Linked DNA regions of Astyanax mexicanus. The protein of the gene in region 1 interacts with the protein of each later gene in a biochemical or structural test. Links are inferred from orthologs where the notes say so. Each region holds a gene or a part of one and is shown in the gene's direction. Other genes may lie near its edges.

Evidence for each region.
Region 2: the proteins of abcc4 (region 1) and mpp1 form a complex in vitro, tested with the Homo sapiens proteins (2 studies listed by BioGRID and IntAct, with this or other methods). The link is inferred for Astyanax mexicanus from reciprocal best matches to the Homo sapiens genes ABCC4 and MPP1.

The regions. Positions count from the first base shown.
Region 1 is NC_064412.1:55,549,015-55,556,740, forward strand, and holds the start of abcc4 (multidrug resistance-associated protein 4), read left to right. Parts: upstream 1-4,572; 5' UTR 4,573-4,763; coding exon 4,764-4,837; intron 4,838-6,379; coding exon 6,380-6,490; intron 6,491-7,726. UniProt on the Homo sapiens protein: ATP-dependent transporter of the ATP-binding cassette (ABC) family that actively extrudes physiological compounds and xenobiotics from cells.
Region 2 is NC_064424.1:19,034,082-19,041,752, reverse strand, and holds the start of mpp1 (55 kDa erythrocyte membrane protein), read left to right. Parts: upstream 1-4,234; 5' UTR 4,235-4,355; intron 4,356-4,603; 5' UTR 4,604-4,616; coding exon 4,617-4,739; intron 4,740-7,671. UniProt on the Homo sapiens protein: Essential regulator of neutrophil polarity. Regulates neutrophil polarization by regulating AKT1 phosphorylation through a mechanism that is independent of PIK3CG activity.

The DNA.
Region 1 (7,726 bases):
GTGAGAAACTACTTTACCTAACCACACGCACTGCAATACACTGCAATTGAATATTACGTAACAGCATTAAATGCATTAAAATGCATTAAAACTGTAATTTAAAACCAGGGTTATTCCACCAAATATTGATTTCTGAACTCTTAAAACTTTATGAATATGAATATGAATTCTGGCATATACCAGAACCATAACTACAGATAGTCAGCTAAACATTCATAACAAGGTCATTAGCAGAAGACACTTTAATCTTTATAATATAAACGGAGATAACACACTAGACATAGCTCTTCATTGTTTAACCCTCTATCCTGTTATTCTTGTTGTTGTCTATATATTGCAATACATTTGTTTACAGCAATTAAGCCCATTTTAATAAACTTTAGAAGAAGTTTCTTCACTCTCTGGTAAAGCAGGGTCATTACCACACATGGCTAGCCTAGGGGTTAAAGAAATGTATTTATTTAAAGTTATTTTTATTATTCTCAAAAACCTATATATCTTACAGCAAAGAATTCAAAGTTAGAACAGGACCAAAACATATGAAGAAGAGAAAATATTTTGCATTCTTGGGCAAAACAAATCAAGTCAACATGTCTTCTGTGTGGATAATCATCTCAAAAAATATATATCTTCTTTTATTGGCCACCCCTACTTTAGGGTATAGAAAGTAATGGAGGGAGGCTAATCCTGGAGTCATAATTATAATTTCAGACGTATTACCACCCAAATACTGAGCACTGCAATCATCCTGCCAAGATATAAACTCTCATATTCACGAACTTGTGGAACTGTGGAATTATTTTCAGTTGCTTTAACCGCAGCCCTTTCTGTTGTTGATCAGCTCAGTGCAGTGTAACACCACAGCATTTCAACAGAACTGAATCACGGATGTCTGCTGATTTATTTCTGGGTCTTGGCTTAGTTGTTATATGGACTAACCCAAATTCTTTTGAGTTTTAAATCACAAAGTGACTTTCTAACATAATGCCACAGAATTTGCAGATACAATTTAAAGTACCATTTTTAATGATCCTGTGCTGTTCAGACTGTGGAGCTTCACCACAACCTCACACTCTCTCAGCCTCGCCTCACAGTGGGGATTTTGGTGTCAGTATTAGATTCTAAACAAACAACACTATGTTTCTGTTGTGTTAAACACATACTGTTTGTGTGTGTGTGTGCGCACTCTAAAAAGGGATTTTGTGTTCTAGTCAGGAGAACTAATATTATCTAATATTATCTAATATTATCAATAAAAAATATGATTTAAACCAACTTTTAGTTATACTACACGTGTCAATGCTATTTTCATCAGTGTTGGTTCGTACAGCTTTTTTTTTCATAGGCTCCTGGCACCATATATTTGCATATTGGGTGTGGCCTCTCCCTTACTTACCATCTTTGTGTTGTCTGTTGCCCAAGGCTACCTTATCTTAGTCGTGCATTAGTATAATATATTTGTTGATTGCCAGGCCTCAGTGTTGTAGGCTGTAAGAGCAAGTTACCTCTATTCTGTGCTCCTAGTTGTCACAGTATGTGTTTTACTTTCAGTAGTGGCAGTTCTATAAAAAATATCTTAAATATGTTGAAAATACCTATATATATCTTAAATAAACTAAATTCTTTAAGCCTGCAAAACTGCTGAGCTAATTAAACTATTGTTTTGTGAACAAAACTCCGTTAGGTTAAATAAACATAACTGATTAATCTGTTATCATTTAGATTTGACTCAGTGAAGTTGAATAAACATAAAATTGTATGTATTTACAACGTAACTGAGTAATATTGACTTGACTGAGCTACGTTGAGCCCATGAATATTTTTCTACAGTGTGTGTGTGTGTGTGTGTGTGTGTGTGTCTTTCACCATTCCCTTTATCAATGTACTGCCCACCTGTTCTGTCTCTCATTGTGCGTCTTTCATGCACTGCCCTTTCAGAGGCTTAGCCAACGGATAACCTATAAAGAACATACGAGAGAGAAAAGTAGAAAAACAGAGAAAGAGAGAGAAAGCAGTATTGACTAGAACAAAACACTGGCATGGCTTGTACCGCTCCATCCACTTCCATGCAGGTCTCTAAAGCTTACTAATATCCAGTATTTGTCACAGTATATCTAAAACTGTACTCTATTCACTATAAAGTGCACCAACTACACTGCCTGGTCAGAAAAGTCTCCACCTGGATGTAAGTAAGTAAATTATGTGGGGTTGGTTGATGCTGCAGTTGCTCTGCAGGTTTAGGTTCAGCAACAGTATGTGCTGATAGAATGAGGTCAGCTGACTACCTGAATATACTGAATATAGACCAGGTTATTCCATCAATGGATTTTATATTTCTTCCCTGATGGCACAGCCATATTCCAAGATGACAATGCCAGGATTCATGGGGCTGGAATTGTGAAATAGTTCAGGGTTCAGGGAGCATGAGATCTTCATTTTCACACATGGATTGAAAGAGTTCCCCACAGAGTCCAGATCTTAACCTCATTGAGAATCTTTGGGATGTGCTGGATGGAGAAGAGCTGCTTTGTGCAGCGGTTGGTCAGACTCTACCATCATCAATGCTGCTGCAAGATCTTGGTGAAAAATTAATGCAACACTGGATTTAAAAATAAATAATGTGACATTGCACAAGCTTATTAAAACAATGCCACAGCGAATGTGTGCCGCAATCAAAGCTGAAGGTGAGCCAACCAAATATTAGAGTTTGTGACCTTTTTTTTTGGTCATGCAGTTTAATTAAACCTGTTCATCTAAGCAGAAAAACTGGATTAAAAAGTGCAGGAGTGATTTTTAATGCGATTCTTTTTCTGTCAGCCCTTACTGCAAGTTACACTTATTGTTGTAAAAAAGCTAAAATATGGACTGAAATGCTCTCTGATTTCTTTGTGCTGGTACTGAGAGAGAGAGCGGGATCAACATGTGGTATTTCTTCACTCACAGCAGCACAGTGTGGTTTTTTTTTCTGTTGCTTGAAGACTGAACTTTTTTTTGAGGCCATTGCAATGCTGAGCTCTACTTACAATGCCCTTCTTTGTTGGTTTTGTGGCCAAAAAGCAGAATTCTAACAAACACATCTTATCAAAAGGCTCTAAACCTAAAATGAGAACTGTTCAAAGGGAATATCCTTTAGCTCAGTTGTTTCATATATTCACCTAAGGCAGTCCTGGGAACCCCGTACATGTTGGTATCTCTGTCTCTCAGGCAGTAGTCATGGGCAGTGGGCCTGCTTTTAAAACCAGGTTTGGAGACCAATACTCTAACACACCTGACCCAATAGGTGACAGATTTGTTAATTATTAATGAGGTAAATGATGTGTGGGATAGAGGAACCACTTAAAAATGGGCACAAACAATATCTGTGGCCCACTTGTGTACTAAACACTAATACTATAAATAATTGCTAACATGTTTATCTTAAAACATTGACTTATATTATTGCTTTGACTGGAACAAATCTATACTTAATGACAGTAAATATGTAAAATAGCTTCCACATCTTCCACATTTAAAACACTGGAGAGAGCACAATCTGAGCTCAAGGACTTCAAAGGCAACGTCTAATCAGATTTGTAGTTACATTGGGTCAATATTAAATCACGTTTCTGTTTCATATTTCTGTCAGGCTGGTTCCTGTCACCCCTTCTAGGGATGGGAATCACAGGGCATCTCACAATACAGTATTATTGTGATGTATTTCCCATGGCAATGATGAAATCATCATACTGGGATTAGAATAAAATACTCCTAAATAAGCAAATATCAGGAATTTGTTGGATAGAATTTATTGGTGTCACATAGCAACACCATAGCAACCATCATGAACACCTGAGGAACCACTTAGGGGGGGCTAGGGAGGGGGGTTAGATAGCTTGGGGGAGTTGATTAAGTTGTTAAAAAATAAAGAATGTTTGTTAATGTAACATTGAAATTGATCAATAAAGGAAAAAAAGACCAATATTTATTTATTTATTTATTTATTACATTTTTTTAAATCTTTGTTTTATTTTATATTGTATTGCTAAGGAGAGCACACTGAATCTCAATGTCCTTGTACAATGACGTTTAATGTCAATGTACAACATTTAATGTCATTTTACAAGGACATCGAGATTCAGTGTGCTCTCTTTAGCAATACAATATAAAATGAATCAAAGATAAAAAAAATAACTAAATTAATTAATTTTCTCTTTTAATTCTAGATAAACGCTTAGTTATTAAATGCTGCTATGACTTTTGTCTACTTTTGTCCCAAATGTACTTTTTCCTACAGAATGGACTGTCCTTGAAGTGCTTCTTTTCTCAGTTATCAGTCAGTTTACTACAGAACTGACTGATAAAAAAGTGATAAAAAAAAGGTGAAGGTTGATGGTATTTCACAATTTTAAGCTGTTTTTAATGATAACAGTACACACTTTACACTCTGTTGTGCAGCAGTGACAGCTCCAGGCTCCTGGAAATGTGCACCTCGGGGACAATGGACCAATGGGCTGCGAGGGAACACGCCCTGGGCCGATAGCGAGCTGCGCCCTCGCGGGCAGCTGGGCGGCGTCCTTCATCTACAGCGCTGCCGGCTGTCTTTACGATGCAACAGCAGCAGCGCGAGAGCAGCAGCGCGAGCGCCTCCGTCACCTGCTGATTACCATGTGCACGCGGGGAAGTTACACAACAGTTTATGAGGAATCTGTTCAGAAGTGAGGAGGAAAGTGAGCGAGGCAGCGCGCGGATGAGCGGGTGAAGCTCCGGAGCGGATAATAATCGATATGGAGCCCGTGGGCAAAGATGTGAAGACTAATCCGGCCGCCTCTGCTAATATTGTGTCTCAGATACTGTTCTGGTGAGTGAGCTAGCCGGTTACTGCGGGCTGTGAGAGTTTATATAGGTTAGCTAAGTGTGTATGGAGGCTGTTTTAGGCTACTGGGGAAGAAATAACCTTTATAAAATAAATACTGAGGAATTATTTTACCTGGACATAACCTATCTAACATATGTCAGGAAGTTCAACTGAGGAAATTAGCTAATTAAAGTTAATAAGCTATAGGTTAGCTAACTACTAGCAGAGGCTAATGAGCAAGAGCTAGCCAGATTAGCTAAACTAAAAGCTAGCTTACTCATACAGCAGCAGCAGCAGAAGGAAAAGAAGTAACGTTAACGTTTACAGTGCAGGCTGTAGTTACTATTTTTATTCATTTATTTTTATTTACTCACACACGTGATCCCCCTCCCCTCTTGGCTACAAAATCCAGTGACTGACATTAACTACATAACCTAACTAAAGTTATCTGTCTATAAAGTTGTTTTTGGTTCTCAGCATGCATGTGCTTTTTCTGTAGGGCTAAAGTATAACAATGTTAATAATGTCATAAAAATGTAATTCAGAATTAAAAACGCTACCTGAAATTTTCCACTACGTTACCTTTAACTACAAAAGTTTAAACTTTTCCAAAGTCTTAAAGTCTAAACTGGATCTGTAGCTAATGTATTTATTATAGTAAATACATAGTTACCTAACTTTTAGTGCTCAGATTTAGTTTTGTATTAGCTAAATTAGCTAATTGGTTAAATAGGTTCTCTAGGTAGGTTATTGTTGGTTGTCAGCTTGACTCTTGATTATGCTTTTCCTATAGGGACTCACCTTAGCTAGCCTTTAACAACGTTAATAATGTTATAAAAATGTCATTAATAACTAAAAACGCTACCTGGCACTTTCCCACTGCCTTTAAATACAAAATTCTAAAGTTTTCTAAAGTACTAAAGTCTAGTAGCTAATGTATTTTTTATAGTAAATACATAGTTACCTAGCTATTAGTGCTGATTTATTTTTGTATTTGCTAAATTAGTCAAATAGGTTCTCTGGGTAGGTTATTAGTTACCTTACCTGGCTGTTGTTCAGCTTTACAGTTGCTGGTTGTCAGCTTGACTCTTGATGATCCTTTCCTAAAGAGAATCACCTAGAATCACTAGTTAGCTAACTAGCTAAATAGTTAAATAACTATGTTTTTATAATGCCCTAAAACACCAGAGAATGGAATAAAAGAAAAAGATAGAATGAAAAGAAAGGTCATTTTTTATTTCAGATGTATTTTTTTATTAGTTAGCTAACTAGCTAACCTGCCTGCTGTTGACCTTTTTACAGGAAAGTAAACATCTCACAAAAGCACAGCTGTTTCCCTTTGCTGCCGTTTTTAGCAGCATTTGAACTTGAGTTTCATCTCATCATTTTATCTAATAAGAACGTAGACAAAAACAGTAGCTGTGGGTCATTTTACATTGTGAAACATTGGCTTTTTTGCTAGCTTTGCTGCTGTTGAGAATTTTCACTTTCAGTTTCGGGAAGCCCTGTGCTGTGTCTTCCTTCTCTTTTTTTTTTTTTACTCAGCTGGCTGAACCCCCTGTTTCGCATTGGATACAAACGAAAACTTGAGGAAGATGACATGTTTAAAGTGCTTCCTGAGGACGAGTCGAAGAGACTGGGAGGGGAACTTCAGAGGTATGTAAACAAATAAAGCTGTACACAGGACACAAAAAACATCACCCATGCTTAGAATACTGAGCTGCTCTGCTTATCCATGTGTTCTTAAATAAAGTCTTGATTTGTTTATGTCTTGCTGTGTTTACTAACTACATTGGGAGGTACAAAGGTTATACTTCCTGTCAGTCCATTTAGTTGCTAACCAAATTTTGGTTTGGAAATGTCAGTCCTATTAAATGTTCAAAGTCTATGGTGGTGAAGTGTGAATAGTGTTACTAAATACTGTGGTTTTTAATGCATGCCAAGGTTATTGCTTAATGCGGCACCTCAGAGCTGTTTTTATAAGGCTAGTGGAATGGGAGCTGCAGGGAAAGGAAGCATTTTCACACTGTCAGTACATGTTGCACTGACATCTATAGCATGTGTGTGTGACATGTAATGAAGGAACAGACGCTTGTAATGTTTGTAGAGCCTGTGTGCCAAGGGTGGAAGTATGGTTGCGTCGGATAATACAATCAGTTCACTTAAGCACCTGCTGGGGCTTCATGTGGAAGAGTACCAGGAGCTAATGCTACCCAAACCAGAAATGCAATAAAGTTTGATATGGTTAAAGGAATTGAGCCCAGGCTTAGGAGGGTTTTTATTTGTTCCTTCTCACAGTATTGGATTATTTTCTTTGTCAGTCTGAGTATTTGGCAATTGGCAGTTGAGGCAATAGAACATGAACCATGAACACAGTGTTATGCTGTGCTTCTGGACCATGTTAAGCCAGTATCAGATTGTCATGGTTGTTGTTGGGTTCAGGACTTATCATCTTTTATCTTATTTCATCTATTACATGTATGTTACTCATCAGAAAACCCAAAAGCTAAAGGGCAGCAGAGTATATACACAGGGTCTAATGCAGTCTGTCAAGGAAAATGTCAGAAATGTAGTGGAAAATTGCTATATCTTTTTGTACATCTGAGTTACAACTTATTTGTAGTTTATTCGGTTAGTCTCAGTTAGCGAAAAAACAGCCAGTTAACTTTTTTAGCCATTTTTAAACATGCTGGACTGTCTAGTATGTGTTCTTGCTCCTCTAATCATAATCCGCCCATCACTCATCAATCATATGTGCTAAGTTTGTCTAACTATTTCTCTTGTCCACCATGTAAGTGATGAAAATAAGCCTTTAATCCAAAATTAGTTCTAAAAACGGTGCTTCATCTTACAAATGTCCCCTTACAGTATCAGTGGGTAAATCAGAGCATG
Region 2 (7,671 bases), on another chromosome or scaffold:
AGGTTTTAGCTAATCTTTCTATCACTTTGCTGTTCAGAGGACAAAGCACATAAGCAGGAAAATTAAACACATACAGAGTTTGTTTTTTAAAAGAACGGCTTTTAACATTAATTTAATTAATTTAACTTTATTTACTAATAATAAAAAAGTGAATTGCTGTTATCTGTTCATAGAGTGATGACTAGAGCCATGGTTACAGACTGAAATTTCAATTTAAATGCAAATGATAAACCGTGAACCTCAAACAGTATTTATTTTACTGAATTATTAATTCAGCATAACCAAAACTATAAAACTATAGCTGTACAATTCCAACACCTCATTTTATATACACTTCTAAAATTAACATGTACCCAGTGCATTAGAAAGAGCCGTTCAAAGGCCTAATCAAAGATAAGACAAGTGCCTTTTCAGGTAAAAAAAGAAAGCAAGTGGGTGTTCATTTAATATTAAAAATATATGGATTGGTCCACTCAAAAATAATACAGCAGAAAAAGCATGAAATTGTTTTAAATTAAACTTTTGCGTGCTGTGTTTGTTGTTAGCAACTGGCGCTGACTGTTATGTGGTCTTTCACTTTGTTTAGGCTTCAGTTCAGATGCCTGTTCAGAAATATCTTGCAGTCAGCAGCAGCTTCACTGACCCGAGCTTTCGCCTCATTGGGCACCAGCTTTACACGCAGGTTGGTGATGAGAGCAATGAATCTCAACAATAATAATATAGTGCAATAAAAACGACTTTTGGATAATGTCTTGTTCTGCTAATAGACTAGGAGGGTTTGGGTTATCTAAAGTTTATATTATCTGCTGCCAAAAATATTTTTAATAAAATGACACCATCATAAGAAGTAAGTTACTTTCAGTAGAAAAAATAAATAATAATAAAATAAAAAATATAGTTTTTACTTCACACTTTTTTGTAAATATACAACAAAATTTACATGCCAATAATAATAATAATAATAAGAAGAAGAAGAATCAAATCTGTTGCTATATTATTTAAAATATTAGATGAAAACTTATCTAATATTTTTGTCATATATTTATATTATTCAGACATTACATGCATAATTGTTTCTAACAACAGTAAATGTAATGTGAAGTAACATGTTTAGGTTGTAAAGTGACCTTTAGTTGGATCTAATAATAACCAGAAGTACAGAAAAAAATGTGATTAATCGCTTCTACACCACTTACAGATGGGTGCTGTGAAGTTGTCATTGTGCCATCTCTACCAATCAGCAAAGATATTAAAAACTGTGTTGGACTCAAGCCCTCAGTTCTCCAGCATCAGCCTCATAGAACTTCCTCAGCTAGATGGGCCTAGTTGTCTCGTTGTGTTTTTTTGCCAGTGTTTGGTGTGTATTGTGAGTTACACACCAGCAGATGGCAGCAGATTTTCAGAAAAGAGACTCTAAAAACATTTGTTCTGTGAGGCACGTGGTTAGTTGCCATTCTGGTGCCCATTTGGTTCACAGCTTAGATGTACATTGGTCATACAGAACATGGAGTGTATCTATGTTGACCACTTCATGATATCATTAAATGGTAATGGTGCGTGTTACTATTTCACAGTAGATCTGTACTCCTAAATCTTATCCAATGGTGATGTATGTGCCTCAGACCTTTTAAAATATTTGGAACGTTCCTTGCAGCACTATGTCCTTCATTTAAACTCACAAAGTCCCTAACTAACATATACTCAACATCCTGAGCGGATTACATGGCAATGTGTGAATCTGTGTTCATTCATCTGACCTTATTTACCGAATGTAGGAGTGCTGGGTTAGTGCTGAGATAAAACTAGCTACTTTTAAAATGTATTATTAACTTCTACAGCTCTGTTACAACCATTTAACAGTTCAAATGCTTTAAATAGTATAGGCCTGATTTCTGGAACAAAATGTTCAAATACAAGTTATCAGGATTTAACCTTAAAGTATTTACATAAGAAAAAAAAAACAGGAATGAGCTGCTTACTGATTTTTATCTTACTCAGTTTTTAATTTGACATCAATATTGACAAATGGGTCTGGGCTCTTATTGGTTAAGGAAATGGCACTCAGTAAAAGCTGCACATCTTAAAGTCAACATGCCCAGTGCCAACTTCAGCTAGAAGGGGTTATTTTGAAAAGGGACAAAAAGCTCACAAGTTTGTTCTGCAATGGCAGTGTTTCTGACATTTTGACAGCATTCACAAATTCTGAATATGTGAATGCTGATGACATTTCAACTGCACACACAAAGGCGTACAACACAAATTGAAAACATTGGAGTTATAGATATTGTATGTGCACTATATTTACAGAGCTGTAGTGCCAAATACTATAAAATTATACTGATTTACAACATTATGATAATACTGTATCACTTTATAATGTTTATCTCTACGTAACATATCTAGGGTATGTAGGAAACTATAGTAATTGCAATACACACATTGTGTACAATTGAATAAAAAAAAACTGAAGTTGAAAATACCAGTCTAGCTCCACTAAGACTGCAACTTTTGAAAAAAAATAATTTATTTATGTAGTGTTTTATAATACTTCAATGATCAGCTATAATGTTTTCTCCTCTCTACAGCAATATATGGCACTTGTGTAGTATCCTGAAGTAAAGAAATATTGTAATTATGTAAATGTACTCCAGGTAATTTACAAGGATCCCTCTTGTAGTGTTGTAGTGGCACGTGCTTAAAATCTGCTTTTAAATTCTACTTTTTATATTTGTTCAAATGCACATATATTTATTTAGATTAAATAAATGACTAAAGATGAATAGATTTAATATTAAATTGTGTTGCACTGTATACGATTATTTAAAGCTGCCTCGCTTGTGTAATGAATGCTGCTCTAAGGCAGCTTTATAAAGCTGATTAACTCATTAATGCATGCTACCTTAATAAAATGCTATCAGTGAACCAGATGACGGCAGGCATTGGATGATCAATGGAAGCACTTCTAACAAGATAAGATTAACATTTTTGAATTGCTAGAAAATGCATTCTTTGTTAAGTGTCTGTTAGTGTTAATATTTGCGATTTATTGTTTGATTGAATACTGAATAGAATGTTCTAAAAAATAAAGAGAAATTTTTATTTACATAATTGAATCAGTATTTAGTTATTTAAATGTTTATTGTGTAAGCAATTTATATTTCAGAAACATCAATACAATTTTCTTCAAAACAATGCAAAACCAAATGCAGCACATATCTACTGACGTAGAGAGTAGAGATACTGGAGTGGCCTGCCTGCAGTTCCTAGCTGTCCCTAATAGTGAATGTGCAGAGTTTTGAAATTAAATGTATGTAGGACTGTTTGCAGGAAGAATGGGACAAACTAACACCAAAAAAGAATGGCAACATTGACAGGTGGTAAATGCTTTACCATTCCAGCTATTTGGGATATCTACTTGGAGGAACCACCTTGATTTTCATATCCCATAGCCAATATTGTATTGGATAAAAATAAAAGCTCTTGAGCCCATAATAAGCTATTCAAAGGGCTCTGACACACTAAAAATAAAAGTCTAGGCTTTTTAAACAGTGCAATGTATAATAAAGCGGTTGAATATCCTGATGTCAATGTGAAACACAATAAATGAATGCTATTGAAATGTATACTGTAAATGCCAATAAAAATTATTTTGAAGTTTGTGACATTTGGACAAAATGTTTGATACATAAAAATATATAAAAATATTTATTTGGTGGCAAAAAATAAGCAGTATTGAAAAAAACTTACTCTCTGCTGAAAAAATATATCAAACCACTATAAGCCCAAACTTCTGAGCCTGGTAGCTGGTTAGACCCTCTAAATCCCGCTTGTAGCAAGTAACGTACCCATATTTTAGGATTATTAAAGGAAGGTGATAAAAATACAACACGTCGTTGTGGACTTTTTGCCTACCCTTACAATGGCAAATGCCATGCTAGCTAACGCTATATTTTTTACAGTAATCTTGCAGATATTCGTATATTTGTTTTGACAGCACTGCACTGTTTGTTTTGGCCGCCATATTTGAACCCGTTAATGTTGACATTTCCACAGCGCTCGCGTTAGTTCTGTACAGGCTCATTGCAGAACTGGTTAATGTTGTTTAAGGTTAAGACTTGGACAGCTCTCTCAGAGGCTGTTGACATTTCCACCACTCTACCACTACACACACACTCTTACACACACTCGCTCACACACACACACACACACACACACACACACATTCGCTCAGTCTCAGCTTTAGCATTAGCCCCCTCCTCCCTCCGCTCCGTCATCATATCCACGTAACTGCTCCGCTCTGATGGAAGCTGCAGCGAACCCACCCCCAGGTTTCTCCTCCTCCAGAGCCTCCATACGTAAGTGTTTATGCGCTTTTGTCAGCTGGTTCTCCACAGCAGTAACAGCAGTAGAAGCAGCAGGAGCTCCATCGCCCTGAACTTCGGACTTCGAGCAGGAGCTGAACTTTTATCTCACACTTTATCTCCAGCTTCCTTATCGCTCTTTTTTCCGCCCTCAAGACTCCCCTCTCTCTCTCTCTCTCTATCTCCCCATCTGACCAGAGGTTATTTTTTAACCTCTATCCCCCACCAACCTTTTTTTGCAGCGACTCTGTAGATATGACGTTAAAGTGCAGTAAGAACGAGCCTGCCGTCACTCTGGAGCGGGTGAGCAGCGTCCGCACGGCTCTCTCGGACCTCTACCTGGAGCAGCTGCTGCAGAACAAGCCCAAGGCTGACAAGGTGAGTAACCTAGCTAGCTGAGAGCCCTGTACTGAACCCAGTTCAGTACTGTCCTCAGTGCTCTTCCATTTTCCCCTCTTTCCCTTCATCCCTTCCTCTTCCTCTTTTCCCTTTCTCTCGGTAGCTTTCAGGTCTCCTCCTCGTGTATCGTGACTGTATTCGTTTGGTCTTTGCTGGCCTGCGGTGTAGGCAGATGTGGTGGTGCTGGTTCAGACCGGCGCAGCCCGGTTTGTGTTCAGCATCATCATCATCATCACCAACATCAACAACATCACCCCCAGCCTCAGGCTGCTTCAACTTCAGCCAATTCACAGCACAGATCAGCTGGAGCTGCTAGTAGCTGCACTGCTGTAGACCCCAAAATCCATCTAGCACTGACTGTAGACAGTATAAAAAATATATGTACTATAAAAAAAGATGCAGAGCTTTCAGACCTCAATAGAGTTCAGAAATCAATATTTGGTGCAATAACCCTTTTTTAATCACAGTTTTTATGCATCTTGGCATGTTCTCCTCCACCAGTCTTACACACTGTTTTTGGATAACTTTATGCCAATCCTGGTGCAAAAAGGCAGTTCAGCTCGGTATGATGGCTCGTGATCACCCATCTTCCTCTTGATTATATTCCAGAGGTTTTCAGTTTGGTCAAATCAAAGAAACTCATCATTTTTAAGTTGTCTCAATTTTTTTTTTCCAAAAAAACAAAAGTGCTCAAGCTGTTCTGGAGTTTTTGAAGGGATGCCATAAAAGAACCAATTTTGGTTTATATATGATATATATATATATGAAAATATAAGATATTTAGTTCACAATGGTTCTTTAAACCCCTTAAGAAGTGTTTCTTCAAGGACTCTAGATAAATGCTAAGTGGTCTTCAAATGAGACCATATAGAGCTGGTCAAAATGGTAAAAAAAAATTAATGATATTTAAATTTTAAATTAATATTATTTTTTTATTTTTCATGATACGTGGTTTCATGATATTTATCGCAATATTTAGACTCACAGACTGAGGTCAGTGTTTTTTGTTCAAAATATGCAATTAATCTAATCAAACAGGACTTATTACACTCGCTGTGATTAAATGTACAGTTGAATTAGTGTTCTTGAATTAGTGTTCTTCATTTATCACAGTGCACTAAATAATTGTAGGGCTGTAACTAATTGTTAAATTGGTAGATACCTAATCTGATGGTTATTTTTCTGATTGGTTGTTGATTAGTCAACAGTTATTTCTGCCATGCCCCCATCACTTTAAAATGAAATAAACATCTGAAAGTGGGACTTAAGTTCCCTGTAAATGCATAAAAGATGTTTAAATGTGGAATATGGGTTTTTAGAGAGTAAATATGTAATCTGTTGTGTGTGGACACTTTTGGAGACAGACCAGGTTGTAATTGTAAACTATGTGAATGAGCCTATGAACTCTTTTTTCCATTGTGTTTTATTCCCTAACACTCTGTGTAGAGCACTGGTGTCACAAATTAACTATTTATAGAGTTGACAATTTTCATAGTTGACATTGTCGGTTACATCTTGGCAGTTCTAAAATATCATCATACTGCCCACCGTTTCTTAGGAGAAGCACTTTTGGTTTCTATATAAATATTTCAGTGGATGTTTCTTAGCCCTTAGAAGACTCCTCTTAAAGAACAACCCTAGAAATGCTTGGTTCCATAGAAAAAAAGAAAAACATTGGATTCCATAACAAACCATGTTTGTGTAAAGTACTTTTAAATTGGTAAAATTCTTGAAACTATTATAAGTTTTTTTTTTCATACATATTTTTCTCACATATTTTATAACAACATGGTTCTTCTGTGGCATTTGTCATAGATCCCATTGTACCATTTATCACAAATATAAATGGTATTAAAGAGGTTTAATACATCTTTACAAATTAGCTTTTTAGACCTCTTTTTAGACTAGAGTCTCTTTTAGACTAACTAGAGCACTAGTTAACTAGTTTTACTGTGGATCAAGTTGGGGGATCAAGACCCAGGTTTGCTGCACTGCCACTGTTGGGCCCCTGAGAAAGGCCCTTGAGCATGTGTGTTTGCTCAATGGTGAATAACACACTGTGTGTGTATTCATTGCACAGAGGGGTTAAAGGCATAAGTCAAATTCCATCTGCGTCCAACATAAAGGGTTGACTTTGTCTTCGTTTTAAAACAAAAAGGGTCTTTTATAGTGTTAAAAGGGGGTTCTTTGACTAGTTAATATGGTGGAATCCTCTAGGGTGCTATATAGAGTTTTAATGGTTCTCCTGGTGTATTGTGTGTATATATAAACAACACTTTTAACCTATAAAATTGCTTCTCTTACACACAAATCTCTGGTCTTTTTCATCACAGAAATACATCAGAGTATTGATTAATTGATTGATTATTTTGCTCTGTTCTCATGTAACACGTGACATGACTCAACTCCAGTCATTATTGGAAGCCCAGTTTATAAAAGCAGGCTCATCACTGACTAATGTATTAGCACAAAAAACACTGTGATGTAATCAAACAGACAAAGAGCCATCTTCTGAGACACACTAGCTGAGAACATCTACGTAAAAGGAACACATGCTCTGTTAATCGTTAATCTTACAAGTGCTGTTCTTTGGTTGACGTTGTTATGAGCCTAATGCAGTTTTTCTCTGATTAGCCTGACAGATTGAAACCCACCCATTGGGTCGTTAATGTATACAAGGGTCTAGAGATAATGTTCTTTGAAAGGATCCGAAACCGTTCTAGGTGTGAATGTGTAGCTGGGGGAAGGGTTAACGAACAAGACCAATCTGCCCTCTATTGTGTCATCAGGAGGGTCTTTATAAGCCAACTGGAGCTTTATTGTCTCTTCAGGAGAAGGTTGAGACTTTAAGAAGCAACCATATTAGACTGACTTGCATTAGAGTGGCTTTTGTGGACAGATTGTTTCGTAA